3 linked regions of the Pelodiscus sinensis genome follow. The protein of the gene in region 1 interacts with the protein of each later gene in a biochemical or structural test. Links are inferred from orthologs where the notes say so. Each region holds a gene or a part of one and is shown on either strand. Other genes may lie near its edges.

What was found.
Region 2: the proteins of INSR (region 1) and TRIM72 form a complex in vitro, tested with the Homo sapiens proteins (2 studies listed by BioGRID). The link is inferred for Pelodiscus sinensis from reciprocal best matches to the Homo sapiens genes INSR and TRIM72.
Region 3: the proteins of INSR (region 1) and GRB10 form a complex in vitro, tested with the Homo sapiens proteins (5 studies listed by BioGRID and IntAct). The link is inferred for Pelodiscus sinensis from reciprocal best matches to the Homo sapiens genes INSR and GRB10.

The regions. Positions count from the first base shown.
Region 1 is NC_134729.1:20,787,462-20,797,309, forward strand, and holds the start of INSR (insulin receptor), read right to left. Parts: upstream 4,586-9,848; 5' UTR 4,528-4,585; coding exon 4,452-4,527; intron 4,113-4,451; exon of another isoform or gene 3,909-4,112; intron 1-3,908. UniProt on the Homo sapiens protein: Receptor tyrosine kinase which mediates the pleiotropic actions of insulin.
Region 2 is NC_134714.1:131,222,107-131,232,122, forward strand, and holds the start of TRIM72 (tripartite motif-containing protein 72), read right to left. Parts: upstream 4,204-10,016; 5' UTR 4,066-4,203; intron 113-4,065; 5' UTR 99-112; coding exon 1-98. Other genes in the region: uncharacterized protein LOC102458195, read left to right, coding at 6,324-6,486. UniProt on the Homo sapiens protein: Muscle-specific E3 ubiquitin-protein ligase that plays a central role in cell membrane repair by nucleating the assembly of the repair machinery at injury sites.
Region 3 is NC_134712.1:156,340,455-156,350,959, reverse strand, and holds the start of GRB10 (growth factor receptor-bound protein 10), read right to left. Parts: upstream 5,011-10,505; 5' UTR 4,541-5,010; intron 1-4,540.

The sequences.
Region 1 (9,848 bases):
CATTTTCTTTTAGTCTCTAAGGTGCTGCAAGACTATTTGTTGTTTTTTTAAGTTTTTCCAGTTACAGACTAACACGGCTCCCCTCGGCTACTCCAATAATGGGTTTAACAAACAGAAAAAGATCTAATAGTTAAATGGTTTAATTTTAAACTTCAGTTTGCTGCCCCTAATAGTGAGGTCTGTGTGGCGAAGCAGGTTCAAATGAGGCTGTGATGAAGAAGAGAGTCTGTTCATTTACCTTTATGCTCCCTCAGATGACCTTGTGAGGCAGCTGCTGAATTTATTCCTGCAGGCAAGGAAGGAGACGACCTCTGCTCTGCTGAGGCAAGAGCAATACCCCTAGTGCCCTGAAGACAGCTTCTCCTATGCCAGTCGCATTCAAACCCCACAGCCTGGCCTGCTGCACTTTCCATTCTACCCTAAACCTGGGATTTGATACCATTTTCATGTTCTCTATATTAAAGTCTGGGGCGGCCCGTCCATATAGGCGAACTAGGCGGTTGCCTAGGGCGCCAAGTTAAATGGGGCCCCAAATGGTGGTGCAATATCGTTGAGGGGTTTGGAGGTGGGGGCACCGATTGCATGGTTCACCTAGGGCGCCAGTTGCTGGCAGCTAGTCTAGGGCCGCTCCTGATTAAAGTCATAATAAGGACCTACTTCTTTACTGCTGTACCGGTCCCCTACAAAAGGCAAAGGACAGACCAGAATAATCGAAGATGACTCTGCTGGGCCACAGAACTAGATAAACCGCAGGGTGAAAAAGTAGATACTAAAGCGTTTTAGATAAGGCAGAAGGCTCCCATTGACTTCAGGAGGAAACAGTCGGGGTTCAAGTCTCTGCCATCAGGCAGATATTCTTCCAGTCTCACAAATGACAAGTTTTTAATCGCAAAGCACTTTCAAAGAGTGTGCCAGGGAGCTTGAATTCATAACTTTGCTAGACCCTTAAAAACATGGCCTTAACAAAGGCACAAGATTTTAAGTCTCAGTACAGCCACTAACCCCCCTTTTTGACCTATGACCACAGGGCCACTTCACTTTGAATCATAAAGTCATAGGGCTGGAAGACACCTCAAAAGGGAAGAGTCCAGCCCCCAAAATACTGTAGCATAAGTCACACATAAATCAATGATCCCCTAAAACAGCTTAGCTTAAGTTGCACATATCTATTCAAACTTGTATTTAGCTTAGTGATAGAAATGTAGCTGTGTTAGTCTGATGTAGCTGAAACAAAAAGTGATACATAGTCCTGTATTTTGTATTTAGCTGTGACACTCTTCATCACTTTCCCAGATTCGAAGAAGAGGTCTGAATCACTCAAAGCCTCTCTCTCTCCCGCCGCCCCCCACAGAAGTTGGTCCAATAAAAGATATTCCTTCACCTTGACATAACTTTTTGTCAGGAAGTTGACTATCCCTAGGACTGCCCTCTGAAAGATTTGACAGGTTATTTTTGGTGGTAAGTGCTTCTCATTTTAAGACCTCTCTGCCTCTGCAGCAAAGGGGAGGTGTTGCATGTAGTTGTTTTGGTTAACTAATAAGCCCAGGCTTATCAGTTCACTGTTTAAATATCTATACACTAACGTCCCTACCCAGAATAATAATTTAAATTAAGAAAAACAAAATTGAGTTAAGAACCCAAGCAACACTGGATAAATCAACTAGCAAAAGAATATTTCGTGGAACCCTACAACTGCAAGAGAGAAGGCTTGTATCTCAACTATGGTGACATTGGCTTTTTCCTATTATAAAATAGGAGGGGGGGCATCTTTTAAGGAACTTTACAGAGTTTTACATCTGTAAGAGCAGGCACTTCTGTAATTTAGATAGAGATTCATTCAAAAGAGCAGGCATAACCTGTGTGTGTGGAATTAGTCACTTTATTTCAACAAAAACAGCCTGCTTATGGAGCAACAATTAAATCCTCAATAATGTCTCACTGGTTTTTTGCTTGTGCAACAATTGTGTATGCATTCATCTTCAAACTGCTGAATGCACCTTCACATTAAATAATGTGTTATTTTCAATACATACTCTAATGCTCTGCAAATATAAGAGTGTGCGCTAGTGTTTAGAGGAGTGACATGGGCATTAAGACAACATTGAAAATTCTTTGGACCACGGACTTTCCTACATATCCTTAACTAGGGTTATGAATGGTTAACCAAGTGATGCTTACACATTACAATTAACCAGCAGGGCAGCCCCACACCTGACACAGCCAGGAGGCTTGGCTAAGCAACAAGACTCAGGTGGGCATGCTCCAGCCCAGCTGAAGCAACCCCCTCACCTGTCCAGTTAACTGATTAAACAGGATTTTACATCCCTATCCTTAACATACCTAGGACGGTACTGGCACTATATACGTAATAAAATTAAGTAATATCCCCCTGTTCCATTCTGGGCTCTGCTATAGTCTGACTCGGTGGACATTGATCCCATTTCTCTATCCGTAAAACAGAAATAATACTTCCCTATTTCATAAGGATGTTGTGAGGATTAATTCATTACATTCATAAACACATAAACAATCCAAGAACAAATGGTGCTACAGAAAGCCACAAGATCAGCAGTTTGTTTGTACCAGTAACAATTTGTAAAGAACTTTGAGGTCACTGAATTAAAGTTATATCGGTACTAAAATTAAAGCGTTGTGCACTGGAGAATGAAATCTTCATGTATTTCCCCACACCACAGTTTGGGCTGCCTGCCATCTCTCAACTCTTAGTTGAAAAACACAGTAGTACTTCTCAAATTTTAAAGTGAATACATGAATAATTTTTTAAAAGAGCGTGCGAGAGAAGAGAGGAAGGTATTTTTGATTACGTGACCAGCCAAATAGATTGTTTTTCCAAAAGTCAGGAGTGTTTCTTGCTTTGAAACCTTTATTATTGTATGTATGTGACGTACCAATCAATGCAATATCTGGACTCTGAACCACCCTACTGCTATTGCTTCTGTGGGAAACATGCCAAGTACAATGAAGGTTATTAAATGAACAATTTCAGTACTTAATTCTCTTTAAGCAAATATTTACCAGCAGGTTCTTTCATTTTCTATAAAAACAAAAACAAGCTAGATTCAGACAGTAAATGCTAGCTTAAGTCATTTATTTAAGCAAGCTTATCCACCTAAAATCAGCCATAAACAATGGTCTGACACTCGTTAAGATAGTTGTGAGCTTCATTTAGGAATCTCCCCAATCCCTCCATTAATGTAACTTCTCTCCACACCCTTGCTTTTAATACCTGTAACCTGTTTAAGAACCATTTTGTGGTTAATTTAAAATCCTTGCCATTCTAAGCCCACACCATGCTAAGAGCTTTCAGAAACTATATCTGGTGTTGAAATTAACTTTTAAAAAAAGAGTTAGAATTCTGTAATATAGCGAGGAAAAGGCTAGAGTGGCATGCTTTTTCATGTTTAAAACAAAAATAGACTTACAAAGACATTACTTGTAGGGTAAATTCCAACAGAAAAGCATGGGCTAAGTTCTCAACCCTCTATTTTATATATAGGCACACATGATACAATTATACCCCCTGCACATGCCAAATGCCACATTTAAGAGAAACAGTTTTAGACCCTGATTCACAAGTCAACTTAGAGGCCCCATTTCAAAATACTTGTGAGAAGTAAATATTCATGGCCACTAAGGTAAAGTTACCAGCAACTTCATAAAACGAAAGATTTTTCATTTATCCCGAACCCAAAGTAACAAAAACCAAAAACAAATGTCTCGGGGTAGCCGTGCTAGTCTGCACTAGAAAAAAAAACACACACACACCTTAAAAAACAACCAATCGTTCTGCAGCACCTTAGAGATTTAACAAAAAAATGCAGATGGGCACATTTAATGCCAACTAGCCTATGCCAAGCAAAGCAGGAATAAAGGAGTTTCCTCCTGACCTAGTCCATGTGTCTGTTCCAATAAACACCCCCCGTTATCTTTGTAGCTGTTGCTAGACCTCTTTTCAGTCACACGCAGGTACGTTGCACGCTGGCTGCATTTCGGAGAGCTTCCCACGCGCACCTTGACTCCCCTTTTTTAATTCATAAATTAATACACAAATCAATCAATCAGTCAGTCCTTCCATAGACGCCACTTTCTGTTCATTTAAGGCAACTCCCGCCCCTCATTATAGCTCCCACCCAAACCCACCCTGAAGAAAGGCATTTGGTTGGGGGGGGGGATGAAAAGCAAGAAAGTGCTCGGGGGGGGGGGGGGAGTCCTGGAACTGCCCCCCCCCCGCTCAGGTACAAAGGGCGGTGTCAGGGCGACCCTCCCGCCCTGTCGCCCCGCTCGGGCTGCAGGGGGCACAGTCACCTCCGCGCGGGGGAGACGCTCCCTCAGCCCGCGCGGCGGGGGGCGGGCGAGCGCGGCTCCCCTCAGCGCCGGCTGCGTGGCGGGGGCACCTGCCCCGGGGACTAGGCCGCGCCCGCGCTACTTACTCTCCCCGCGGCTCGGGCCGCAGCAGGCCCCCAGCAGCGCGGCCACCGCCAGCGCCAGCGCCGCCCTCAGCGCCATGCTCCGCCGCTCGGAGGCCGCCGGGCCCCGCGCCCGCCTCTCCCGCCGCTTCGTCGGGCCGCTGGCGGCGCGGGCCGGGCTCGCGGCTGCCTGCCTGGCCGGTAAACAAGGGGCTGCCCCCGTCAGCTGGGAGCGGGCGGCGGCAAGAGGCGGCGCGGAGCCGGGCTGGGGACGGGACGCGGCCGGGGGAGGGGCCCCGGGGAGGGGCGAGCCACCTGCCGGGCCCCCGGGACTGGAGCGGCGGGGCCTCCCCCCTCACGGCCCCGGCCAACCGAGAGCGCGCGCCCCGCTGCGGGCTCTTCCTCCCGGGGAGCGACCGGCCCCGCCCCCCGCCCCCCCGCTTCCCCCCCTGCCCCTGGGGGCCCGCCGGCCCCGCCCCCCGCTTCTCCCCCCTGCCCCTGGGGGCCCGCCGGCCCCGCCCCCCGCTTCCCCCCCTGCCCCTGGGGGCCCGCCGGCCCCGCCCCCCGCTTCCCCCCCGCTCCAGGGGCCCCGCCCCCCGCTTCCCCCCCTGCTCCAGGGGGCCCGCCGGCCCCCACCCGCCCCTACCCCCCCCGGGAGCAACCTGCCCCACAGCCTGCTTCTCCCCCTGCCCCAGGGGGCCCGCCGGCCCCGCCCCCCGCTTCTCCCCCTGCCCCAGGGGGCCCGCCGGCCCCGCCCCCCGCTTCTCTCCAACCCCAGGAGGCCCGCCTGCCCCTCACCCGCCCCTACCTGCCCTGGGGATCAGCCTGCCCCGAGCCCCACTTCTCCCCCAGCTCCAGGGGGTCAGCCTGTCCCACCCCCCCCCCCCCCGGGATCAGCCTGCCCCGCACCCCGCACCTCCCCCAGCCCGAGGGGGCCCGTCTGCCCACCACCCGCCCCTACCCCCTGGGGAGCAACCTGCCCTGCAGCCCGCTTCTCCCCAACCCCAGGGGGCCCACCTGCCCCGCAGCTGCCCCGCACCCCGCTTCCCCTCAGCCCCAGGGGGCCCGCCTATCCCACCCCCCAGGGGATCCGCCTGCCCGGCAGCTGCCCCGCACCCTGCTTCCCCCCCAGCCCGAGGGGACGAGCCTGCCCCGCAGCCGCCCCTCCCCTCCCCCGGGGATCAGCCTGCCCCGCATCTCGCTTCTCCCCCAGCTACAGGGAGCCAGCCTGCCCTGCCCCTAGCCCCCTACAGGACCAGCCTGCCCTGCACCCCGCTTCTCCCCCAGCCCCCGAGGCCAGCCTGCCCTGCCCCAAACCCCACAAGGGGCTAGCCTGCCCGCTCCTGCCCCCCAGGGATCAGTCTGCCCCGCATCTCGCTTCTCCCCCAGCTCTAGGGGGTCAGCCCACCCCGCTCCTAACCCCACAGGGAGCCAGCCTGCCCCACATCCCGCTTTTTCCCCAGCTCCAGGGGGCCAGCCTGCTCCTAGCCCCCCTGGGGACCAGCCTGCCACCCTCCCCCATCCCACAGCCCCAGGGACCCAGTGTGTCCTGCCACAGCCCCACTACTGCTGCCCCCAGCCCTGGGACTGGAAGCCTGCCCCACCCCTGTCACCCACCCTTGGGGACCTGCTGCTGCTGCACCCACTGCTGGGGACCAACCTGCCCTGTACCCTGCCCCGTCACCCTCCTTTGGGGACCAGCTGGACCTGCAGCCAGCCCTTCACCCATGAATGCCTGCCTGCCTGCACACACTGGGGACTAGCTTACCCTACCATGTACCCTTACCACCAGTGCCACTGCACACAGCCCTGGGGACTAGCCAGCCTACCCCTACCACCCAGGACCAATGCCACTGCCTTCTCTCCACCAGGTGACCCTTGCACAGGATACTCCTTACCTCTTTGCCCACCTGCAGAGTGCCCCAGCCCTGCAAATGCACAAACCCTCCCCAAGCCCAGACTCGTGTCACACACAGGCAGACACTGAACAACCAAGCTGAACAGCAGCAGGTAGGAGAATAAAAGGGAATTTGAATGATGGCAGATTATTAAATAACAAAGAACAGTTACAGAGCATGTTGGCACATTGGGGATGTATTGGACTTTGAATATGGAATAAGCACTTTTATAAACCATGCACTAGATTTGCCCCTCGTTGCTCGGGTCCTTAAGTACGTTTTGTTTTTTTCATCTGTATCATTGCTCTTGAGTGGTGGTGGTGACAATGAGGGGTTCAATATGTTGGCTGCTCTGGGGAGAGAGAACAACCCCAGCCCTCTCTCACTACAGCAGCTTAGGGCCAGGTGAGCAGTACCTGTCCATGGCCAATGTAGTTGCAGCGAGCACATCCAGGGGCAGAATGCATGTTCCCTGGCTGGGGGAGACAGACAGACTGATAAAGTCTCTGCAATATATAGTAGATTACTGTCCCTTTCTCCATCCCTGGGGGCTCAATGGGGGTACAGCTGTCCTGGTCCCCTGCTCTGGCTCCTTGCTGCCCCCGCATGGTCATTCTCCAGTATAACTGTTCCTCCTACTAGACTCCCTCCCTTTCCATTTTATGAGAAACAATTGAATTCCAGGAACATCTCATTTATTCTGGCACAGCCAAACCCTGACCTGGCTTTAAATTATGACAAAAGGAATCTGCTTACCAAATGTGGTGGTCCTAATTCTTATAGTTTAGGAGGAGCTCTTGAACAAACAGATCAAAAGGTTCTCTAAAATACCTAGTAGATAAACTAGTGCCACTTTGCAGGGAAGTTAACTATTGATTCTAAGCCAGTATAGTTTATAGCAGTCAAACCAGTGTGTAGACCAGTCCAAATTCCTCACCACATGTCACCAAAGTCAGCAATGTTGTCCCTATTGCACACAGATGCCTTGTCTACCTTAGCAAACATTCTTGTACAGAAACACACATGTTAAGCTGAAATAATGCTGACCCCAGCTTTGTAATCAGTGTAGAAGACCATAGCGTAGGACCAGAATCAAGCCTGGGAGCAGTGTTCCCTGTAATCTCTTGCTTCCGTGGGATACAGACTTTGATGCTTTCCCTCCATTCTTTAAATGTTTGTTGTTTGTCCTTGAGCTAATGCATCACAATACATTTCCTGGCAACCAAGAGAACTACTTCCAATAATTTTGTCTGCTTTTGCACAGTCCCACTTATGCAAGATTGTGAGTTATGCAAACTCTTTGTATACAGAAAATGTATCATTCTAACGTGCTTTATAGGCAAACAACTATTCTTTTTCCAAATCTTTGCCTCTCCTTTTCCAAGTATCTCACTGTACACTAGACCCTTTACTTAAGTTTTAGATTTATTGATACGGGACCTGGTACAGAGGCTCCCAAACTATAATCCATAATCCATAGGGCACTGATGAACTGCAGAACACTTGCCACTGGTCTACATAGAGCTGGCGGGTCACATAGCAATGGCTTTCCTCCTTTTCCCCCCCCATCTGTTAATTTGCATTAAGAAATCCAAATGTATATTATTAAATTGTTTCCCTCTGTTACTTCGCCTTGTAAAGAGTTGCTGCAGTTGGCACGTGGGTATTACACAATTGTGGTTGGATGAGAAAGTGATCCACATGCTTACGAATCAGAGAGGAATTAGGTTAGAACAATATTTAGATGTGATCCACACCGCAAAAAGGTTTGAGGTTCTCTAAGCTTGGTGATTAGAGCACAAGACTGGGAGTTTGGACGACAGGTTGAACCTGACCAGTTCCGAACCACAGAATTTTCCATATTGATGTCGAGCCTGAATTCTGTTCTTTACTCCAATGCAAGTCAGGAGTAACTGGTAGGTATTTACCTAACAGGCGTCACCTTCACAGAGTGGTTAAAAAGCCGAAAAGTGCTGTTTAAATGGCCACAAGCTGCTGAGTTTTCTCTGATGGCGTGTGTGACAAATCCGTCATCATGTTTGCATTTCTGCCTGATGTACGGCTGTTCTTCCAGCTTACTCATGTGGCAGAACTGGCCTGGTAGGAATGCTCTCCCCTGCACATGCCTGATTGTGCTCTGGGCTTATCTAAAAGTGGATTAAATATATTTTCCTTGGAGTTGAAAAAAGTAGTTATCCCTGACCTGGATAAAATCACAGGAGGATTAGTGAGGCACTGCCAGAGTAAACCGCAGTTGTGGAAGCTTGTGAGTCCACCTATTGTAAATGTCATATGTCTACACTGCAGTGTAGCCCAGTATTTGAACTCAGGTTCAAGCCTAGCCCCCCCACCCCTTCCATCTGTGTGCAAATGGCACTAACCCAGGGTCTAATGACCCCATGGGAGTGGAGGGTACAAGCCTGAGTCAAGCTGCCAGCCTGGGTTCAAGCCCTTTTCCTGCCGCACTGGAGTTGTGCTCTGGGAGTCTGCCAACAATATCCCACAGTCCCATGGTCCAACTGTCTTAGTCCTCTCGCTGAGTGTTTCTTGACCACTGGTACGAGTACCTTCAGTACTCAAGAAAAGTCTGGGGGGGTACGTCAACACTACTGAAATTGAGACAACTGAATTTGTTTTAAGTTTTACAGTGCTCTATTATTTTTGTACTTTTTACACTCAAAAATTTCATTGCCCACCCGGCAACGATTAAGTTGTTAAACAAATGTGTTGCAGTGGTAGAAAAAAATCGTGTGTGTCTGAAAACTGTAGGTACTGGGGATACTTCTAACTTTTTTTTTTTAAGGAATACTTTAGAAAAAAAAGGTTGAGAAACACTTCTCTAGCCAGTCAATTGTGTTGGACAGTTAAGTTTTCCCACACTGCACCACAAACTAAGGGTTAAGGCAGCCATATTTTGGGATGGCACTAGGAAGTCAGGGATGTGCATAGTTTGGCTCAGGCAAGGCAGATGCTGAAGCCCCAGGTTTGGACCCATGGTTCAAAAATTCCTAGCCTGGGGTTACAAATGAGTTTAAATCAGCAGTTCCCAACCTTTTCCAGATGGGGACCCATTTTGACAATTGAGAAAGACTTGGTGACCCAAGGCAATTGAAAAACGGAGGGAGGGCAGAGCCACCTGGAGAGACACTTGGTGACCCTTTTGAAATGTAATGGCGACCCAGATTTGGGTCCCGACCCATAGGTTGGGAAACCCTGCTCTAAATCAACAAGTCCAGGGTCTGCTAAGTGGAGTGCTACTAAGCCTGGGCTTGCGTTACAGAATAGACATACCCAGGATGTCCCTCCACCTTCAGCTGCACTTTCAACCTGTTTTGGTTATCCCAGCTTCTCTCTGGTTTATTCTTTAACCATCCCTTAAATGAGTATAGATAGACACAGAGTGACATTTACAGGGGGAAACTCACTCTGAACTAGGAGACAGCCTAGGAGGGAGTCTATGTTACTAATACTTAGCACACTGAATGTTCTTTAAAAATCACAGTCACATTTTTCAGAAGGGACT
Region 2 (10,016 bases), on another chromosome or scaffold:
CACTCCGCCGTCACCGGCGCCTTGAACAGCTTCAGGCAGCTGGGGCAGCTCAGGTCCTGGTGCATGCCCTGCATCAGGCGCTGCTTGGAGGTCGACATGCCGGGGCCGGGCGCTGGCGGGGGCGACAGAGCGACTCGTGGGCCCCGTTCACCCGCCAGCCCAGAGCCCGGCGCCAGGAACGGTCCTGGTCCCGGATCCAGCCCTTGGCTGGAATCAATCAGCCAGTTCCCCCGCCCCCCGCCCCCACCGGCCCCTGCAGCCTGAGGAATGTTAGCCCAGCATGGCGGGGAGGTGACACACGCCTATAAATAGCTGGTTGGAGCAGACACGGTAATGGGAGCCGAGCGCCCCCTCCAGATCTCTGCCCCTCCGCTGTTTTCCATCCCCTCCCCCACAGGCCTTGCTGGGAATGGCACCGTTCCTGGCGAATACGGCTCCCGTTCTCCTCCCTCCGCTGCCGTGGGCCGGGCGTGGCAGGACGTGGCCAGGGGGCTAGTGGGGCCCACGGTGAATTCCCCATCCCGGCCCTGCCTCGGTTGTGCAGCGTTTGGCTGCGGTGAGAGGCCGGGGGGGGGGCACACGTCGTATCGTCGGCTTTGTCGGCCACGTGGGAGCGTGCGGTGGCCACTGCTGGGGGGGGGGGGGACGCAAGGGGGGCACCAGTCATGTGACCTCCCCCCCCCCACATGACTCCTCCTGTGCCAATCCTAGTCCAGGGGCGGTGAGTACAGGTGAATACCCGCAGCATGGGCCCAGGGCCGGCCTGACCCATTTGCACGCCCCGGGCCTCAGGAGCATGCGTGGTCCCACCCCCGGGCACACAGAGCATGCATGGTGCCGCCCCTGCCTGGCCCAGCAGTCCCACGCGGTGCCCCCTACAATGGGGCACCCAGGGCAATAGCTCGGCTGGCCCGTACCTTGGGCCGGCTCTGCCTGGGCCAGACACCAGGGTGTTTGGATGAACCGTTTGCCGGCTGCTGGCCCCTGGCCCCTGCCCCAGCGTATTCAGAGGGCACACGGCCCTTCGCAGGGTTCCCAGATGGTTTCAACAAAAATACCAGACACACTTGACATTCCATCCCAGTCTACAGCCCATCTGAGTTAGGAAATCCTGGGCCTTTCTGTTGCCTCATTTCTAGTTTCTCAGTGTGTTTCCCGAACAGAAGCTCAGCTACGGGACTGTCCGGTTCAACACCAGACCCCCGGCAACCCTGACCCTTCGTGCTCCCCCCACATGCTGCCCTGGGAGTGGGACGGGGTGTCCAAACCCCACCCCGGGCAAGGAGGGGTTAAGGGATTATTTTGGGCTCAGCCCGCCCCGCCCTGCCGCTCCTGCAGGGAACGCTCCAGCTGCAATGGCCAGGTGGGGCTTAGCCCCCTTGTGGCAGCGCTAGGGGGGGGCAGGTCTGATTCTGCCGTCGGTGGAGGTGAAAGTGGGGGCGCCATGGCACGCAGCTCCGGCACGGGCTGGCTGAGCTGGGGTAAAAGCAAGGCGCTGTTGAAAGGGCGGGCGGGGACCCGGGTTGCAATAGGACAGCGCCTGTATGAAATGTGAACTTACTGTCACTGCTGGCCGCCGGTAGCTCCAGTGGCGCAGTGGGAAGCTAAAGGCTCTGACTCCGCAGGGAGACACTGGCTGTTCCCACCCTTGCTTGTAAGCACAGGTTAGACGAACGGCTGCCGGGGTGGAGGGGGTGTTGACGTTTTACATGCTCCTGCCTCAGAACAGGGGCTGGAAAGGATCAGCCCAGCAACATCACGGAGCCTTTAGCTGCATCTTGGGTGCCAGAGCCCTGGTCCTCAGCGTGGGGCCTGCCAGTCTGTCTGGGGCTGCCGGCCCTGCTGCTCAATCCCGCCCCTGCCTCTGCGGTGTGCAGGGGAGAGGGGATGGGGGTGCTCGGGGGAGTGGGCAGCAGGAGGTGGGGAAGAGGCAGGGCAGGGACATGGAAGGAGTGGACAATTGGGGGAAGGTGGGGGCTGAGTGGGGCTTAAAATGAGAAGCCATTTTGGGGGTCCTCAAAGAATTTAAATCCAATTGGAGGTGCCCCGGTTGCTAATATTTGAGAACCAGGGTTCTGTGTTGGTCACCACAGTCGTAATCCCCCAACTCTTATCGAGCACTTTTTGACAGTCTAGCTCAGTGAGCTTTATCAAAGAGAATGGCAGCCTTAGACCCATTTTACAGGTGGGAAAAGTGAGGCAAGGGACGTCATTTGTCCCCATCCTCCCGCAGGCCTGGGACCGAAATTGTCCACCTGTGCCCTGGGCCTGGCTGTGTCCCAGGCCAGCATGCTAGCCACTAGGCCACACTGCACAATGCTTGGCAGTGTTATAGTTGTGGTGCTACCCTGCCATTTTGCTGCAGGGCACTTTTGCTGTGGGGGCTGCGTACTGCCTGGGGCGAAAGGGCTGGACTGGGAGGCAGGAGACCCGCTGCTATTTCCAGCGGTGCTGCGTGAAGACGCTCGGCAAGTCACTTCCCTGTGCCTCAGTTTCCCTAGCCATAAAATTATCCTAATCGCCCTTAGTCGAGTGCCCTGAGATCGAATGAAGGAGAGAGCTGGGGATTCACATTTGTATGTGTTTTATTTTTTATATATTTTACTATATTAATTTGGGAATGGCCGACAGGGGAGGGGATACACGAGGATTCCCGGTTCTGTTCCCTCCCTCTGGGGCACCAGGCATTGGCTGCTGTCGGCAGACAGGACACTAAGCTCCATGGGCCTTTGCTGACCCGGTAGGTTCTGTGGGGCTGCGTTGCCTGGGACCTGGGGGTGCCCTCGGTGTCTGAGATGTCGCAGGGAATTATGTTGCCTGCCAGACATGCAGCGTGGACTTGATTCCCGGCCACTGTCTCAGCTGCCTCGCCTTGCACGTGTGGTGAATTCGGGGCGTGCCGAGCTGCGTCGCACGGGGCCCCGTGCCCTGCTGCGTGTGCGGCCGCACTGCGCTGCATTGGAGCTGCCAAGGTGGCCTGGCAGGGGTCCCTCTGCCTTGTGGTGCACTGCGTAGGGAGCTGGGGGGGGGCATTAGCAGAGGCTCAGGATGAGGCACGGGGTGGGTGTGTGTGGGGGGGTTATATTTGGGGCATCTCCAGCCTGTGCTATCCAGGGGGTCGGGCTAAGGGCCCTTCTGGCCAGGGGGCTCTGTGGAGCTTGTGCCGTTGCTCCGGAGGGGAGCGGCCTGCAAGACGGAGCCCCCCCCCCCCCCTCCCGACGGGGCTGAATGCCAGTGCCAGGCCACATCTGAGAATCAGGAAAAGCCGCTTCCCGAGGGGCGTGAGCAGCTGGGTCTCACCGTGGCCTCCCCCACCTGTCCACAGCGCTGTTGGGAATAAGGGGTAGAGGGGGGCTGGGAGGAGGCGGAAGCAGGAGGGAGGGATCCCTAATGGGTAGCGATGGGCGAGGCCATCCCCCCCCCCGACACCAAAGGGGGCAGGGACAGCTTCTCCATGGGGCGGGAATGTCGGCTGAAGGTTGGGAGGGGGAAGGGAGTGGACTGGGAGGCAGAAGAGCCACAAACAGAGAGAGACGCCAAAGAACCATTTTAGCCCCTGCCCAGAGCGACTTTTTAACCCAAACCAGCCCCCCCAGCTCACCCCCTTCTCCAGCCCACCCCCGCTTTCCCTGCCACAGGCTCTCCCCGCAGACAAGCTGTCCCTCAGCTCCAGCTCCGGGCCCAGGGGTTAAAACAACAGGCACGAGAGGAGAAGAGAGGCAGGAGCTCTGGGGGCAGGCGTGGGATAGCGCAGGGGCCGGCCACAGAGACGCAGCCAGGCAGACACAGAAGGAGGCTTGCGGAGCGTTTCTGGTCCCTGCCCAGAGAGAGCGAATTCAGTCCAGCTCGCTCCCGGTTACCCCAAAGGGAAGCATCCGAGCCCGTCTCCCCGCCAGGCCCTCTGACCTTTCCCGGTCCTGCACTCGTTAGAAAGATGACGCCTCCCTTTGAGTTTCCCCCCTGCCCTCTAAGCCTGGCACCCCGGTCACTACAGGCTGCATAGAGCCCTGGGAGCAAAGTGAGACCCCCATAGCTCCGGGGGAGAGAAAGCAAGCAGCGTCTTACTGAGCTCAGAGGAGACGGCGGGGGAGCGGTGTCCGGCTGGAGGGCGAGGAGGCGCAGCGATCGGACGGGCACCAGGGAGCAGCTGACTGTGCTAGGATGGGCTCAGCCGCAGCGCGACTGCCCCACAGCCCCTCCCCGCCTCTATATATAGATCAATAATGCGCGGCTGTTCTGGGAAGGACAGGACACCGGCCAATTTTTTGTCTGCAGAGCAGGAGGGGGAGGGCAGGGTGACAGCAAATGGCTCAGGCAGCTGTTGGCGTAGAGAGAGGGGGCTCGCACTCTGCTTGGGGAGCACCCTGCATTCCCCTCCAGGAGCCCGGGGTCCCACTCTCTCCCCTGCACACCGGGGTCTGGGAGTGCCACCCTTCCTCCTGGGAACCAGGGGCTGCGGGAGCCCCCTACCGCAGAGCACCCGCCCTGCTGTTCCGCACGCCGGGGGCTCTCCTGCCTCCGGCTCTGGCAGCCTGGAGTGATTGGGGGAGGAGGGTCAAGCTGGATTTCGCAGCCAGGGTGAGTCGGGGCAGCTGCTTTGGTGCACTTCAGTGGAGCGCTGGGGGCACCTGGACTCGTCCATCTTTGGCTGCAGGGTTGCTCAACTTTCAAACTTCAGAAATCTGGACACTTCCGAACTTCTAGAACCACCCCCGTCCCACCTCTTCCCATGGGCCCTGCCTCTTCCCCAGGCTTTCACCCCTTGCTCCACCTCTTCCCCCAGGCCCCACCTCCTGCTCCGCCTCTTCCCCCAGGCCCCACCTCCTGCTCCGCCTCTTCCCCCAGGCCCCACCCCCTGCTCCGCCTCTCCTCCCAGGCCCCACCCCCTGCTCCGCCTCTTCCCCCAGGCCCCACCTCCTGCTCCGCCTCTCCTCCCAGGCCCCACATCCTGCTCCGCCTCTTCCCCCAGGCCCCACCCCCTGCTCCGCCTCTCCTCCCAGGCCCCACCTCCTGCTCCGCCTCTTCCCCCAGGCCCCACCTCCTGCTCCGCCTCTCCTCCCAGGCCCCACCTCCTGCTCCGCCTCTTCCCCCAGACCCCACCCCCTGCTCCTCCTCGCTTTTCGGGCCCCACCCCCTGCTGCGCCTCTTTCCCCAGAGGTCAGTGCTAATGGAAGCAGGAGCTTTGGAGGGGTCTCCGTGACTAAGTGAGGCCTTGGGGCGGGGCCTTGGTGAGGGACTGGTGGGGCTGTGTGAGCCCTAGCACAGCCTGCTGAGGGGTGAAGGACCAGGACTGGAGTCCGGAGCTCCCTGGGTGCAGCCGTTCTAAGAGGCTCCTCTAAAACTCTTCCACCTGGTGTTGGTGACTGTCTTGCAGCCGGCCGGCCCTGGTCCCGCTCAGGACCAGTTCATACACCTTCCGCATCGTCTCTGGATTCTCCTCCCAGATTCCACATCGGACCATCACTCCCCATCGGGAGTGGCTGACAATCTGATCCTCCAACAGCACGAACCAGGGTTTGTTAATCTGTTTGCTAATATAAATATTCTCCTAATAAATGTCACCACCGTGCTTTCCAGTCTGGATAGTGAGAGATTGCTCACCCAGTCTCAAAATGCAGCCACCTCTAGGGTGAGGCCTGGCTGCAACATTGTACAGCATTAAGAATGGCCACACTGGGTCAGACCAAAGGTCCATCCAGTCCAGTGTCCTGTTTGGGGACAGTGGCCAATACCAGATGCCCCAGAGGGAGAGAACACAACAGGGAATCCCTGCCCTGTCTCCCACCTCCAGAGAAACAGGGGCTGGGGACACCATTCCTACCCATCCTGGCTAATAGCCATTGACGGACCTAACCCCCATGAATCTATCTAGCTTTTTTTTGAACCCTGTTAAAGTTCTAGGCTTCACCACATCCTCTCGCAAGGAGTTCCTACACCTGCAGATTTAACACCCCAATCAGGGTTTACCAAAGGCATGTAAGTGTCCAGCTCCTACTGATTTGGGGTCTGGGCCCTAGACTGTCTGTGAAGGAAGGCTTTTCAGGTTCCTCCCAGGCCCTCTCTTCTGCTGCCAGTGTATAAGGTGACTAGATTACCGCAGTTCCCACATGACAGCCGCTTTAAACCCTGGCCCTGGGACGCTCGCTGAGCGAACTCTCCTGGGGAGCCATGGGCTGAGCCTGCCTCACCAAGGGCTCGGAGTCCGGGGGGGAGGGAGGTTCGAGCTCTGCCTCCTCCTACTCGGCACAGCAGCGACTTCCTGCTCCCGGGCCAGGGTCTGACTCGGTCTCTGCTGCGCTGAGGCCTCTGCCTGGGGCGGCAGCATGGCGCTCAGACCCCAGGGTTCGGGGCTGCCCCAGGGCAAGCCCAAAAAGCCTCAACTCCAGTTGCAGGGGAGCTCTTACGTAGGCGGCCTCCCCGGGAAGGACTTTGGAGCAGAGAAGCCGTTCTCGCAGTTCCAGTCACCGACACTCTTCTCAGCATCTGGTAAGGAGGGATCCAGAGAGGAACTCGGAGCAGGGGGCCAATGCGCTGGCACGGGGGGGGGTTGAGAGCCCCTGAGCTAAACTTCACCCCTTGGACACAACGGAAGCCACAAGTCAGGGGGTGCAGCCACAACCCTCCCCCCCCCCCCCGAGTGTCCCTGGACACGCTCCCTCCCGCTTTCTGGTCTCAGTCAGACTTTTTCCTTGCCACCAAGCCAGCCTCCCTCCGATCTGGATGAATCAGAGTGCAAAGCAGAGGAGGAGAGAGAAGGCGCTGTGGAGCCCAGGGAGAGGAGAAGGGCTCTGCTGGGCAGGCTCCCTTAGACTTTATTTACACACAAACTTGCACCAATTTAATTAACCTGCTGTATTTAAACCATTTAACTGTCCCACACCGCATGCAGCGGTTCTAAGAGACCTTAAACCGGCAGCCTGCGTTACGCAGGGTGCCTGGTGTTGACTGGTGCAGATGATACTCCTGGGGCAGTTCTGCCAGGAGAAGTTAAGCATTCTGTGCGCACTACTTTCACATGTTGCAAAATTCTGCATATTTGATGTGTCAGAATAACACAACATAATCACACCAGTTCTGGTTATTTTGGTTGATTTCTTTCAAGACACCTGTCACCAAGCCAGCCTGTAAGGACACACAAGCAATTCTGTCCAATCTTCTGATAAAGAAACATAACGACTACCTTTGTTTTTGCAGCACAAGGTGGCTGCTTTATAATCTGCTTTCATTATCTCCAGTTTTACACACCCAGAAAGAAAACAAATTCAATCTAACCAGGCCAGCACCTGCAGAAACACAGTGAGAAGTAACTCTAGTGTTCCCAAAGGCATTGGTGGGGTTCACCTGCATTTCGGGGTCTTTGGTTACATCTAAAAGCAAACATCTTCTTGCTTGTAAGAGCCTTCCGTTGAAATCCAGGCAGGCTCTTCCTCTTACGAAATCACTGGCAGCCAGTCAGCTAGTTGATGTAACTGAGCGCTCAGTTTAGAGATTTAAAACAACAGGGCTGTGTCTACACTGGGCCACTTATTCCGGAAAATCAGCCGCTTTTCCGGAATAAGCTGCGAGCTGTCTACACTGGCCCTTGAATTTCCCGAAAAGCAACGATGCTCTACTGTACAAAATCAGCCGCTATTCCAGAAAAACTATTCTGCTACCGCTCGGGCATAAGTCCTTATTCCGGAACACTGTTCTGGAAAAGGGCCAGTGTAGACAGCCCAGTAGTCTTTTCTGGAAAAGCGCGTCTACATTGGCCACAGATGCTTTTCCGGAAAAAGGGCTTTTCCGGAAAAGCAGCCTGCCAATGTAGACGCTCCTTATCCGGAAAAACTGAAAACGGAATAGTATTCAATTTTAAGCATTTCCAGAAATTCATGCCAGTGTAGACCCAGCCCAGGTGAATGAAACCCTGTTACAGAAAAATACAAGCCCTGAGAATAGCAAAACACACATGACTCGTTCCCCAGGCAGGCATATTTTTTTTAAAAAGTTGGTGAGTCACACTTTTCAGATAATAGAAACTAACACAGTTTGGCTAAAATCAAGCAACACTCAAAATCTATATCTCTGTTTTTAAAAAGGTAGGTGTGTCTGTCTGTCCGTCCATTGTGAGTCCATTTGTTCAAGAACTAACTCCTCTTAAGCACTAAGAGCTAGGCTACCACAGTGGGTATGTCAAGCAGCTGGCATGTTCCCCTGCAAGCTGGAGAGGGGACTGTTTTCTGAGGCCTGCTCAGCCCCCCGTGTAAACAGCACCAGAGAACACAGAGGGGCAATCACCAAACAGTGTTGGTGTGGGGACAGAGGAGTCAGTTTGGGGCTGAAAGATGGGGGCGGAGGGTACAACAGGGAACTGGTTCCCCTCATGAGCTTGTTTTCCCTGCTCCTGAAAGTGTCCCCTTAAAGTTCTTTGTCTGGCTGCCTGACCCTGCCTGGTTTTGTGAGCAGAGCTCTGTGTTCCCCCGGTGTCCCTCCGGTGTCTGATTCTGTCCTAGGACTTGTCCCCCAGCACTTTAACTGCTGCCCTACCCCCACCCCAGAAGAAGGCAGAACTGTGGCAACTGAAGTAACCCAGGGTCCACACCAGGGCTACATCTAGACTGGCATGATTTTCTGGAAATGCTTTTAACGGAATGATGAAAGGTCTAGAGAACATGACCTATGAGGGAAGACTGAAAGAACTGGGCTTGTTTAGGTTAGAAAAGAGAAGACAGGGGGGACATGATAGCGATTTTCAAGTATTTAAAAGGATGCTACAAGGAGGAGGGAGACAAATTGGCCTCTGAGGCTAGGACAAGAAGCAATGGGCTTAAATTGCAGCCAGGAAGGTTTAGGTTGGACGTTAGGAGAAACTTCCTCCCTGTCAGGGTTGTCAAACACTGGAATAAATTGCCTGGGGGTGTGTGGAATCCCCACCTCTGGAGATACTTAAGGGCAGGTTGGACAGACACTCTTCAGAGATGGTCAGACTGTGCTTGGTGCTGCGGTGAGGGCAGGGCACGGGGCTTAATGACCTCTCAAGGTCCCGTCCCATTCTCGTGTTCTGTGATTCTATGTGTGACGGGGCGTCCCCTGCCCGTCCCTGGGGCGCCGCCGAGCAGGCATTCCTGGGGTTAAGGGGGGGGCCCTGCCGGGGCTGCGCGGCGTGCACGCGAGCCGCGCCGGGGCAGGGAAAGCCGGCCGCCCCCCCCCCCCGAAGCGGTAGCGCCGTGGCGGATGGCGCGGCGATAGCGGGGGCAGCATTTCCCCACCTGGAGTGACAGGAGAGCCGGCCAATGGGGAGACCGGACGGGCGATAGGGGAAACGCCCGCCCGGTGACGTAGGCGGAGGCGGGCGCCCGGCGGGGAATTTAAAATGGACCCCCTTCCACTCACGAGGGGGGGAGAGAGGAGTCGGGCGGCAGCCGCGAGCGGGCTTGTTGCCAAAGAGGCGGAGGTTGGGAGAAACCACCTCCCTTTGAGCCCGGCCACGACAGTCCTCTTGGGCTGTGGAGCCAGCCCAGAGCAAGGTGCGGGCATACGGACGCCCGACCGCCAGCCTGACGGACGAGCCAAAGGTGACCGCCCCGAGGAGGGGGAGGAAGGGCACCTGAGGAGGGAAAGGAAGCAGCCCAGGGCAGGGCTCATTGGAGCTGGCGGGCTGACGCGTTTCGGCATGGAGCCTCGTCAGCCGGACCGGAGCTAAATATCTCCGTGTCCTTAGGGCCCTGGGCTGGGGCCCGTGAGTGAGGGCGGGCCCGGGCCCCCCTTTCCCTCCCCCTCCCTAAGGGGGGAGAAACGTGTGAGCTAGGGACCGGCCGTGCAGCTACATAAAGCACGACCGACAACCCGAATTCACCGCCTTGAAGGCGGGAAGACTAGGCACTGAGTGGGAATCAAGTCCAAACGGGACGTGGTCAGAGGACCCCGAAACGGGGGCCGGCGGGGTCGCCTATGTACACTATGCTTAACAGCAGCAGGAGTAAAATTTCTTTCCCCGCCTCCAGCCACAGGACCAGCAAAGTTGGGGGGTGGAGGGC
Region 3 (10,505 bases), on another chromosome or scaffold:
GGACTCCATTTTTTTCATCATGAAAACGTAATGGAGAGTGATTCTGCAGAAGACTGCAGCACCATTCATTCCTTACTCAGGTACAGCCCTCAGCAACACCAGGTCATATTCTTAACATATCCTCAACACTACCCATCTTCACTTTAGTCTTTTGGCAATTGTGTCCCCTACTTGTACAAGATGGGAGTACACTGATCAGTCTGTTCAGCAAATCAGTTGAAGTATGAGAACCATAACTGTTGCTTTGTAAGCCAATGTTGTCCCAGCTCATAAGAACTTTGGCTCTCAAGCTCCTTTTTGCTCTCACTGAATGGCTGAACATTTCCTCCACAGTATGCTTGATACACCCTGCCAGAAAAGTTTGATTTCCTATTTTTTCCCTGCTGAGAACTAGTAGAAACTGGCATTGATTTAGGTTGGGAAGAATCAGATGCCAGTTTACCAGTAGTTTAAGTAAACATATGTTTACAATTACCTCGTTCATCATGACCTACTTGTGTGGAGTTGCCTTTTTGGACCTAGTTCATGTTTACTGACTCTGGTCTCCGAACAAAGCTGAAACATTAAAATTTACTGTAACAGAGAGCCATTGTATAGGCACCCTGCTTGACAGGTAGGGCCATATGATTCTGAGATAAATTGATACACAACGCTAAGACAAACATGGTTTAGGGTTTCTCTGGAAAAGCTGAACAGTGAGTAGAGCTATGGTGCCTTCTGGCCCATAGTTAACCTTAGTGTGACCCATACTGCTGACCCTGTTTTTCATTAGTTGTCACTAGTATTCTGTTGAAGCCTGGGTCCACTGGTCCCTCCCGCAAGGCTGTGGAGGGGCCTTTAGAAGTGGACGGGTTTCCGTCCGCCTATCACACATAATTCAAATAGTGCTTGGTAAGCAAGAATGCACAATATGAATGACCCTCAGGCACCTCCACAAGATGATGCAGCTGATCTGCCTGCTCAGACATGTCTATTCAACTATTGGGGACATCTCATCCTACACTTTAAGCTACGTAAAAAGATGCCTCCTGCCATGAGGGTAGGGGACTGGCCTCAATGACCTCTCAAGGTACCCTCCAGTTCTAGTGTTCTATGATTCTATGCTTGCAAATACTGCAAAAATAAGATCCAATGTCATACCTGCCCATTGGACATTTCATAGTGTCAGACAGCTCAAGTTTCAAAAAAATAGTTTCTCTGCTTTTCCTAGCTTGGGTATGGATGGGAGAGAAATCTTTAAACAGAGGGATAGAATGACAGTGCCAAGAAATTAATACAGCAACACTATCACTACCCATTAAGTTATACAACATTGCTAACTGATCTTTAAATGTTTGTTCAGTCTACTTTCAAAGTTATTTTAAAGTAAAGGAATTAGAGTTTTTACTATATTCAGTGATAACTTTACCTAAACAAGTCAAATGATTTAAGTACAACCCAGAGTCCTACAAGTGCAAGCTAGTACTACCCCCTAAAGCCCTCTGGTGTTTTATTCCTTTATATGACTGGCAAGGAGGCTTTTGCTGTGCAACTCTCCATTCACAGTGAGGCACTACCACCTCAATATACACATACGGAGACACCACAAATAATCTAAGGGGAAAACCTAAGTGAAGTTGGTTGTGGCTCCCAGCCTAGAGCTGCTCTGCAGTACACCAGCTGCTAACAGTCTCCAATGGGACATCTGCTAGCTGGGGACTGTCAGATTAACATCCTCCCCCTTCCCACCAGTGTTGCAAGGGCTGTTGGAAGATGGCACATGGCCTAGCTATACTGTCTTCATGCCAGCTGGCAACATCCCATCTTGGAAGGAACCCACAGCAATGGAGATCCAGCTACTTTCAGCCCTTACATGCCAGTGGACTGCAATTCAGGATCCAGCCCACAGTTTGTAGGGTAACTTGTAGTGATTCTTGTTAGATTCAGAGTCATGGAATATAAACAAGACAGCGAGTTGCAAATGTTCACTTTATGACTACAGTTGTTCTTTTCCATGGGTAGACATGAAATGCAGATATCCATTTTACATCTAAGCAATGCTTTCAAAGTGGTGTTTATTATTTCTTTTGAAAGCAAGTTACACCTGGGTTAGAGATTGGAAGCCAACACACACCACAGTAGGGAAGAGGATACTTTGACTGACAAAAACCAAGGAAACTCACTAGAATATCCAGCCAGAGCAAACAAGATCTACTTTAAGAACAAAGAGTGCAAATGAACTACAATATTAGCAGGTGGGAAGGGGGGGGGGGGGAGAGGAAGAAACAATAATTTCAGGCATGTGGAGGGGTCCCTTCATTATCATTCATAACAGATGTTACCAAACATCACTTTTTAGTCTGTGTTTGCTCGGTGTTGTGCAGCTTATTTAAAAAGGAGATTGATATCAAGACTGACTTGGCTCAAAGATTAAGTTTATTCATTAGACTACAACGGTACATCTTGAGACAAAACACAAGGGAAAGAGAAGAATATGCTTCTTGAATAGCCACATTGCTTCCATTCAGACCTTGCTAGGGAAAATATGTGTATGTTCTGAGCATTCTGCATGTCCCTTCACTCCTCGTCTGCCTATCTAAATGAACTGAAGCAGCCATCAAGGTTGTCATTTACAGCATTTCATTTCAGGCATAATTCCTTCTTCCACTCAGGTTGTCCAATCGCCACACATTTTTTTTAAACTGTCCTCATAACTCACTCCTTTTTATCCTAGGATTAGCCTTGTTGCCCTCCTCTGTTTCTCTGAATGCTGTAAGTACAACTAGCCCATGGATTTAAGAATGAGTTAAACTGAAATCTTACAACTGTTTATTGATCACACCACCTACAAAAGCTTGGTTCAGAAGATCACACCTCCCAGATGCAATACAATTTCATTTGACTATTAAGTTAAATTTTAGAAATCTAACATCCCACCCCCTTCATAATGCCCATTGTTATTTCTCACTTTATAGGAGTAAGATCATGAACAAGCACAGTACTGCTTTGTGAACCTTGATCGGTATTGCTTTGACATACCAGAAACATATGTTCCCAGTTCAACAAATCAAAACATTTTACACAGAACACCACTGCAGATACAGTGGTGCTCTCAAGTGCTGAATCAGCACTCTCCATACTACTCTAAAATTAAATGTTATGTGGATTTTAAGGAAGGGGGGAGAGTAGGGTGGGCCTGGCAGTTTAAGAGATTTTGCACTAGTGCATCTTTGGGGTTTGGACTAGATGACTTCCTGAGGTCTCTTCCAACCCTAATCTTCAATGATTCTATGGTCTGCCAAACCAATTAATTGCAGACTTTCTTTTATAAGATGATAAAGTTTAGGTCCCAGTTTTTGCAACAAGGCAAACAAGGTATAGAAGGGGAGCCCATGTGGAACAGATTTTTCCTGCTCTACCTCCAATCATGAGTTGAAGGTGGGGGAGGGCAAGAAAGTAAAAACCTCTCCCTGCCAAGCCTTATTTCACACGTTCTGGGTTACAAGAAACTACCCAATATTATCCAAAAGCCACCAAAATACTGTCCCACAAAAATGTTCAAAGACTCCCCTTATTCCCAAATCTGTTTTTGAGGATAGCTGGGGAAGGGGGGGGTGAAGAGGGAAGAAGTAAGAGAGGGCAGGCAGCAGCATCCGGAGTGGCACTTCTGTGATCTGTCCTTTGCCTCAAGTTATTCTCCTTGCCAAAAGAGAAAAATGGGGGTAGCATTTCAGACCTAAACTTTTAATACCTCTAGGAAAAGCAACACAAAAGAAACAGTTTAGCTTTCCTGAGGCCCTGTAAAAGCTGTTTCAATTCCCGATAAATACAAGTACAGGCCAGTAAGTACAGCACGCCTAAGAACCGGTGGAAGTGGGAAATGGACCTTATTCTGTGGACTTAAGATCCCCTCTGATCGTTGCAGTCCAGCCCCCTCCTCCTTTCTTCGGGCTTGAAAGGATCTCAGATCTGACAACGAAATGGTTCAAATATGCACACAGGCTCAGTGACTCCCCCAAGGGGCTAATAAAGGTCCAAGGGAGGAGAGACAAGAGAGCACGGCAAACTACTAACAACGGATTCGCCGCACTCAACTCGCCTGAAGTCTTGTCAGTGGAGGCGGGGGGGGGGGGGGGGGGAGGTGGCTCCAGCTTTCCACTCCGCTTTAATGAGGAAGTTTTGAAAGTGACCAACTAAATCCGAAGTCAGGGAAAGAGAATTGCGTACTCCTCTCCCCCGCCCCCCTCCCAACCTCGGCTACTAAGGAACCCTCAGCGCACAAGCTCCCAACCAGCTTATAGGCGATATGTACATTCACGCGCGCAGTCCCCTTGTAATTTAGCCTCATTGCCTCAGGCGTCCTCCCTCACCCTAGCCTGTTCTGCGAGCGCCTAAGCCAGCGCATTCTGCATTCGCAGTCCTGGACCTTTCCCAGCAGTTCCCTGCTCGTGCAGCCTCCTCCCGCCAGATCCCGCTGCTTTGCCCCTTGCAAGGGACGCCTGCAGGACGGGGCATGCCCACTTCACAGCGCACCCTTCCCCTGCCCTGCTGAGTCTCTTACCTGCTGCTGCCCGGCGCCTCTTTCGCCCTCGTGGCCTCCCTCTGGCTGCTCCGGACACCACCAGTGCCCCCTCCCCCTCTCGAGTGCTTCGCTGTGCGCGTCTGGCTCCTTCGCCCTCCCTCTCGCACGCTCCGATCAAGTTTTGTGGCTGCTGTTCCGGTGGGGTCGGGAGTGCAGCAGGCAGCGCGGGATGCTAGCTACGGGGGGGGGGGGGGGTCTTCCCAGCGGGGAGGAGGAAAGTTAAACTCCCATTGCACACGCCAAAATATATACGGCAGCCCCTCCGTACGGGAGGGGAGCTACAAAGAAAACTTCTGCCCTTGCTGAACCGCCGCTGCGGACCCGGCTCCCTCCTCCGAGCTGCTGGTATTAACCCGGGGCTACGTGCCCCCGCCGCCCAGATCTTGCTCCGTACTCAGCTGACTCTCCAGCTTAGGATGCATCATCTCCACCGCCCCCCTCCCCCTTTAATAGGCTTTAAACCCACCTCCCACCCCGGCGCCGCCTCCACGCAGCCGCAGCCAGAGCCATCCCCGCCCCAGCCCAGCGGCAGCCTCCCCGCCCAGCCGGCAGCCAGCCGAGAAAGGGCAGCGGCGCTGCTCCAGTGCGCTCCGCTGGAGCAGCGCTTGCAGCCCGCTGCTGTAGGGGGCTGTTCTGCGGCCGCCGCCGCCTTCCTCCCGCCCCGCGCCAACCCTTCGAGCCCGGCTGCGGGCGGGCGGACGGAGCGAAGCCACTGGCCTGCGCCCAGCCGCGCCCTGGGTGCTACGGCACCGACACGTGTCCGCACACGCTGCACCCTCGCTAACGCCGGCCGCAGCGGGCCACGCGCCTCACCCAGGCTCGCGGGCATGCCAGCAGCACACCGGGCGCGCCGACTCACGCGCCCCCACCCCAGCCCCTCAACACGCAAATTGTGCTCACTTGCTTCTTGCAGACCCACCCCGGCAGTTACAGCCACTTTGCACACGCGTGTACTGGGCTCGCCCATGTTCCTGTGCACACAAGGTGTCTTCGACTTATTTGGGCGTCTCTCGTCGTCCTCCCCCCTTGTATACTCACGATTCACAAGCGTGCTGTCCCCCAAATACGCCTGAACGTTGTGACAACAGAAAATAGTCACCCTGACTGGGATAAGGCCTGTCCCAAGCTGTTTCACACTTAGTCCGGATACAGTGAATGCAACAGGATAGCAAGATCAGTGCTCTGCCAGAAGCTGTGTCACTAGTCATGGAAAAGGAGGTTGAAGTGCTGCTGTGCAAATAAAGAAGCCAAGAAATGCACCAGTAGCAACAGGAGTGGCTGCACCAATCAATCCAGGCCAGCTTCTTAGCATCTCTGCAGAATTATCCTAATGCATGGCAATAAAAATATTTAGTTGGGTTATGGTTTTGATCTGACTTTATTTTTGCACTCCCATTGTACCCACCAAGTGGATGTACAATTTGTGTTGCCAATGTTTGAAAATCTGTTAAGGTGATTTGGGGACCTGCTGCAGAAGCCCTCACCTCTACATCTGCCATCACTTGCCCAGCAATTAATTCTGCCCCCTGATGCCCATCAATTTTGTCCCCACATGAGTTTTTCCCCTACTTCCTCCTACCTCTCACCTCAGCTCCCCTGTTTCTTGCTGCTCTTCACCCACTTCTCCTGAGCCAGGGGGCTGCAGCAGGATTGGAGGTAACTCCCAAGGTTCCTGCCCTTTCCCAAGCCAGGTGTTGGAGGTAGAGGTGGAGAGGAGCCAATCCAGGGGAGGGAAGGGAGAAGTGCAGTTACCCTAGTTGACAGAGCTCTTTCTGTTCTCTCCTCTCCTGTAAGAAATGGGGCCATCTCCTGATTGGAGTGGGAAGAACACTTCCAGCTTCTTACAGCTGCATTGAGTGGTTGCTTTTCCTCAGGAGGTAGGGCAAGCAACCAATCAGAGGGAATTCCTCCCAAGCAGGACTGAAATTAGCCCTGTCATTGCTAAGATGCAACCCAAACTAAACTCCAATGCAGTGGTTCCCAACCTTTTCAAGCGTAGGGCCCCTTTTTCAATCTGTTAAAATTTTATGGACCCCATCCCCCAAAGGAAGTGGTGGCTATCACGTCCCTTAGCCTGAACTGCTTTCTCAGTTCCCGCCCCTCCATCCCTGCCCTTCCATGGAGGATATGGCGAGGGGCCTGTCGTGGCTAAAGGCAGGTCTTGCCTCAGCACTCCACCCTTGGCTGGGCATGGAGTCCTGGGGGAGAAAAAAAAAAGAAAAGGAAAAGAAAAGGAAGGATTGGGCCCACTGCGGGACTGGTAGCAGGAGAGGGCTTGAGCATGGATAGCAGTGCAGCTAGCGGTGGGAGGATGGATGTTGCCTCCTGGGGTATCAAGATCCCATCCTGAGGGCCAGAGGTGGCATGCGGGTGAGGCCGGTTGCAAACAGCGAGCCCCACGTGAGAATTGTCTGGTGGATAGTCCCAGTCCCATGGTGAGCCTAATCCTTACTTTTATTTCCTTTCCTTTCCTAAACTTTCCATGGACCCTATAAAGTACTGTTATGGACCCCCCAGGGGTCCATGGATCACAGGCTGGGGACCACTGCTCTAGTAGAAATGTAGAGTCTATTTAAAGACTTTGCGGTCTGTAACCATTAGAGATCATAATGAGGCTTACCTGGAAGCTGACTGTGCATCTAATACTGGCTAGAGTCAGAGACAGGATACTGGACCCAAAAGACTATTGGTCTGATGCAGTATGGCAATTCGTATGTTCCTGAGGGCTCAGGGCTTGCCCATACCAAGTCAATATGTTGGAGACATCCCACTAGCACTCAAGGTTATGGTAGGATCTTGATATTTTACCAGTTGGTCTTGGCCACCTGGAACAAGCCACTCAAAGCACAAGCAGAACTTCAGGTCATTGGGCCTCAGCACTATAAGGGGCAGAAGCCCTACTTCCAGTGGATTGGCTCCATTATCAGCTGCCTGATCAGCAGAGAGCTTTTTCTGGGAGGAGCAGTGGGGAGGGCGGAATGAGGACAGCAAATAGAATGTGAAATGTTTCTAAGGTGGCATGCCTGGGGGTTGGAGTGTGGTTTGGATGGATGTTTACAGGGGACAGGAGATCTTTAAATGCCCTGGATAATAGGTGAGTAGGGAGGGTTGGACAGTGACAGAGGAGATCTGGAAAGAGAGTCTAGAGTGTCTTAGAAATACACATATAAACATACTTGTGCATGCTGTTTGTAGACTATACTTCCAAACAAGATGTATCAGCTAGTAAGTAACTACATGACCTTTTTTCCTCCCTATTCTTGCCTGCCCATCCTGTTTTCAATTTTATTCTCACTTGTTTTATCAATACCATCATTTATATCACAGACAATGTGCCTGTCTCTCTGTTATGTTCTTGTTCTTGGAACAATACATGGCAACAGGGGAATATTTATAAACTGGGTGGCACCTCTATTCTCTTGGATTCTCAGTCCTTGGGCTCTCACACACTTGTAATACTTTTTTAGCTTTTCAGCAACAGGGGTCCTTGTGCATTTCATTTCACCTGTCACCAGGCCTGCATGCAGCTCCACACAATCCAAATAATACTTTTAAGTGCCTCACATGTTGACAAGTAATTTGGAGAAAAGGCTCTTCCAAGGAATCCAGGGGTAACCTCCAAAGGAACCTTTTTTTAAAAAGTGTCATTTGGTGCAATCTAGTACATTCTAAAGATGGGAGGGGCAGAGCACATTCCATGAACCATGCCTTAGAAACACCCACTTGCAGAAAAGAATCAGCTTTATCTACAGAGGACGATGAATGCCACTGGAAGCAGGGAAATTCCCAGTGCTCATTATCATTAGAAACCACTATTGGCATGCATTGATTATAACATAGTCATTCCAGTTTCTGTTAAACACCTTTTTAAAAGTAATTTCCTATTTCTACATTGCTTTTATTCTTCCATCTTTTTCCATTTTCCATACCTTTCATCCCCTTTACGGTATATGCTGGTGCCTTTTCACAGCTGTCCCTTCATCTCACCTTCCTCTTTCTGTACGTGTCATGTCCTTCGCCTGTGTTCTTTCAGCTCTCAATCCTTCAGTCATTCCCTCACATCATCTCTCCAGTCTATCACACATATCAAATAGCCTGTCACAGATACACATGATCCAGCCATATGCTTACCATTCACCCATCATAGACACTCAGCATCTCCAACTCTACCTGAGGACCTTAGGGGTAGGAAGCCACTCCTACCACCATTGCTAGGGCGTGTGGGGCAGACCCACCTGGTGGATAGGATGATGGTACCAGAGAGCTCTCTCCCCACTCCCAGCTCCTCACAGGGCTTCCTTTGTAAGGGTTACTGGAGCCTCTCCTCCATGGACCCTCTGCTTCATAGGGAGTATGACTCAAATAAATGCAACAGATGAGGCATCAAGGGAGGCCCTCACAGCAGCAGCAAGGAGCGACTGCAGGCCTCCTTGTTCTGGCCCTTTGTTTCGGGGTGGAGACTGAAAGCTCTCTTCTTGCATCATGTTGTCTAGTGAGCGGTGTGGAGCGGAGCTCCCCCCATCACAAGAAAGGCACTGCTGTGGAGGAGAGGGAGGCTCTGAAAAACTGATGAGGTATGTCTAAACTACATGGCTCCGTTGACGGAGCCATGTAGATAAATTCACTAGACATAGGAAAATGAAGCGGTGATTTACATCAAAATGGCCGCTTTGCTGTGCTGATCAGCTGTTTGGCGGCACAGTGGGGCAGTCTGGACGCGCCGCAGTCAACAAAGGAAGCCTTTGTCAACTGCTCCCTTGTGCCTCTGAAATGAGCTTTACTGGAGAGGTCGACAAAAGTTTCCCTTGTCGACCACAGCGCATCCAGACTGTCCCGCTATACTGCCAAATAGCTGATCGGCATAGCGCGGCGGCTATTTTGATGTAAATGAAGCTTCATTTTCCTATGGTCTAGTAAACTCATCTACATGGCTCCATCGAATGAGCCATGTAGTCTAGACATACCCCTGAAGAGGAAGGTGTCTCATGGGTCAGCTAAATGAGATCAGCAGTAATATTCTCCCTGGCCTCCAACAAAGTGGAAGTGTAAGACACTCCCGTCCCCCATCCTCAGCTACCATAAGAGAGAAGATACTGGTGACTGAACTAACCACTGTGGTCAGGTTGACAGACCAGGCCTTCCGATACCTTTACCCCATGTCCATATGGCAGGGAGGGGGAAGTGGGAGGGTGAAAGGAAAGTTTCTCCCCTTTTCTTCTTCACTGGCTGTGGGTAGAGAGGCAACGGATGCAGTTCAAGGCAGCTGATGCAGTACCTCCTTTGCCTGGGGCATGCTGTTCATGAAGCAAGTTTCCTCCTCATGCCTAGAAAGTGTGGAATGATGTTATTGTGACATCACATGATCCTGTAGCTAGGCCTAACCTTATTGGGCCTATTGGTTAATCATATTCAACATAGGCTTCTTTAGTGAGGGGATGACTTATATTTGCAATTCTATAGCATTAGTCACTATAAGAGATCAGTATGTATTACAAAGGTGATGCTTCACTCTTTCTAAAGATGAGGAAACTGAAACAAAACGAGGTTAAGTGATTTGCCCAATGTCACAAAGCAAGTCAGAATTATACTTCAGGAATTCCAGGTTTCCAAAATTATTCCACCTGTCCAGTCAAAGTATCACAAAATATTTCAGGATTGACTATTAAATATAAACAACAGTGTCAAAATACATAAAAGTTACATACAATGAAAAAGTAACAAAGGTTATGTCAGGGTCTTTCCATTTCTGAGGCTTAACTGGCTTTCTTCCAATAAGCATACTCTCCCTAAATACTGCTGATCCATCAGTTTATCATAAATTAACTTTAATATTTTACAAGTGTGAGAACATGTCTATTTGACATTACATATGATTTTAAAGGATTAAAATGTATACACTGTGTGTCATTATGTTACATTTTACAGACAATAAAATTACTTGTAC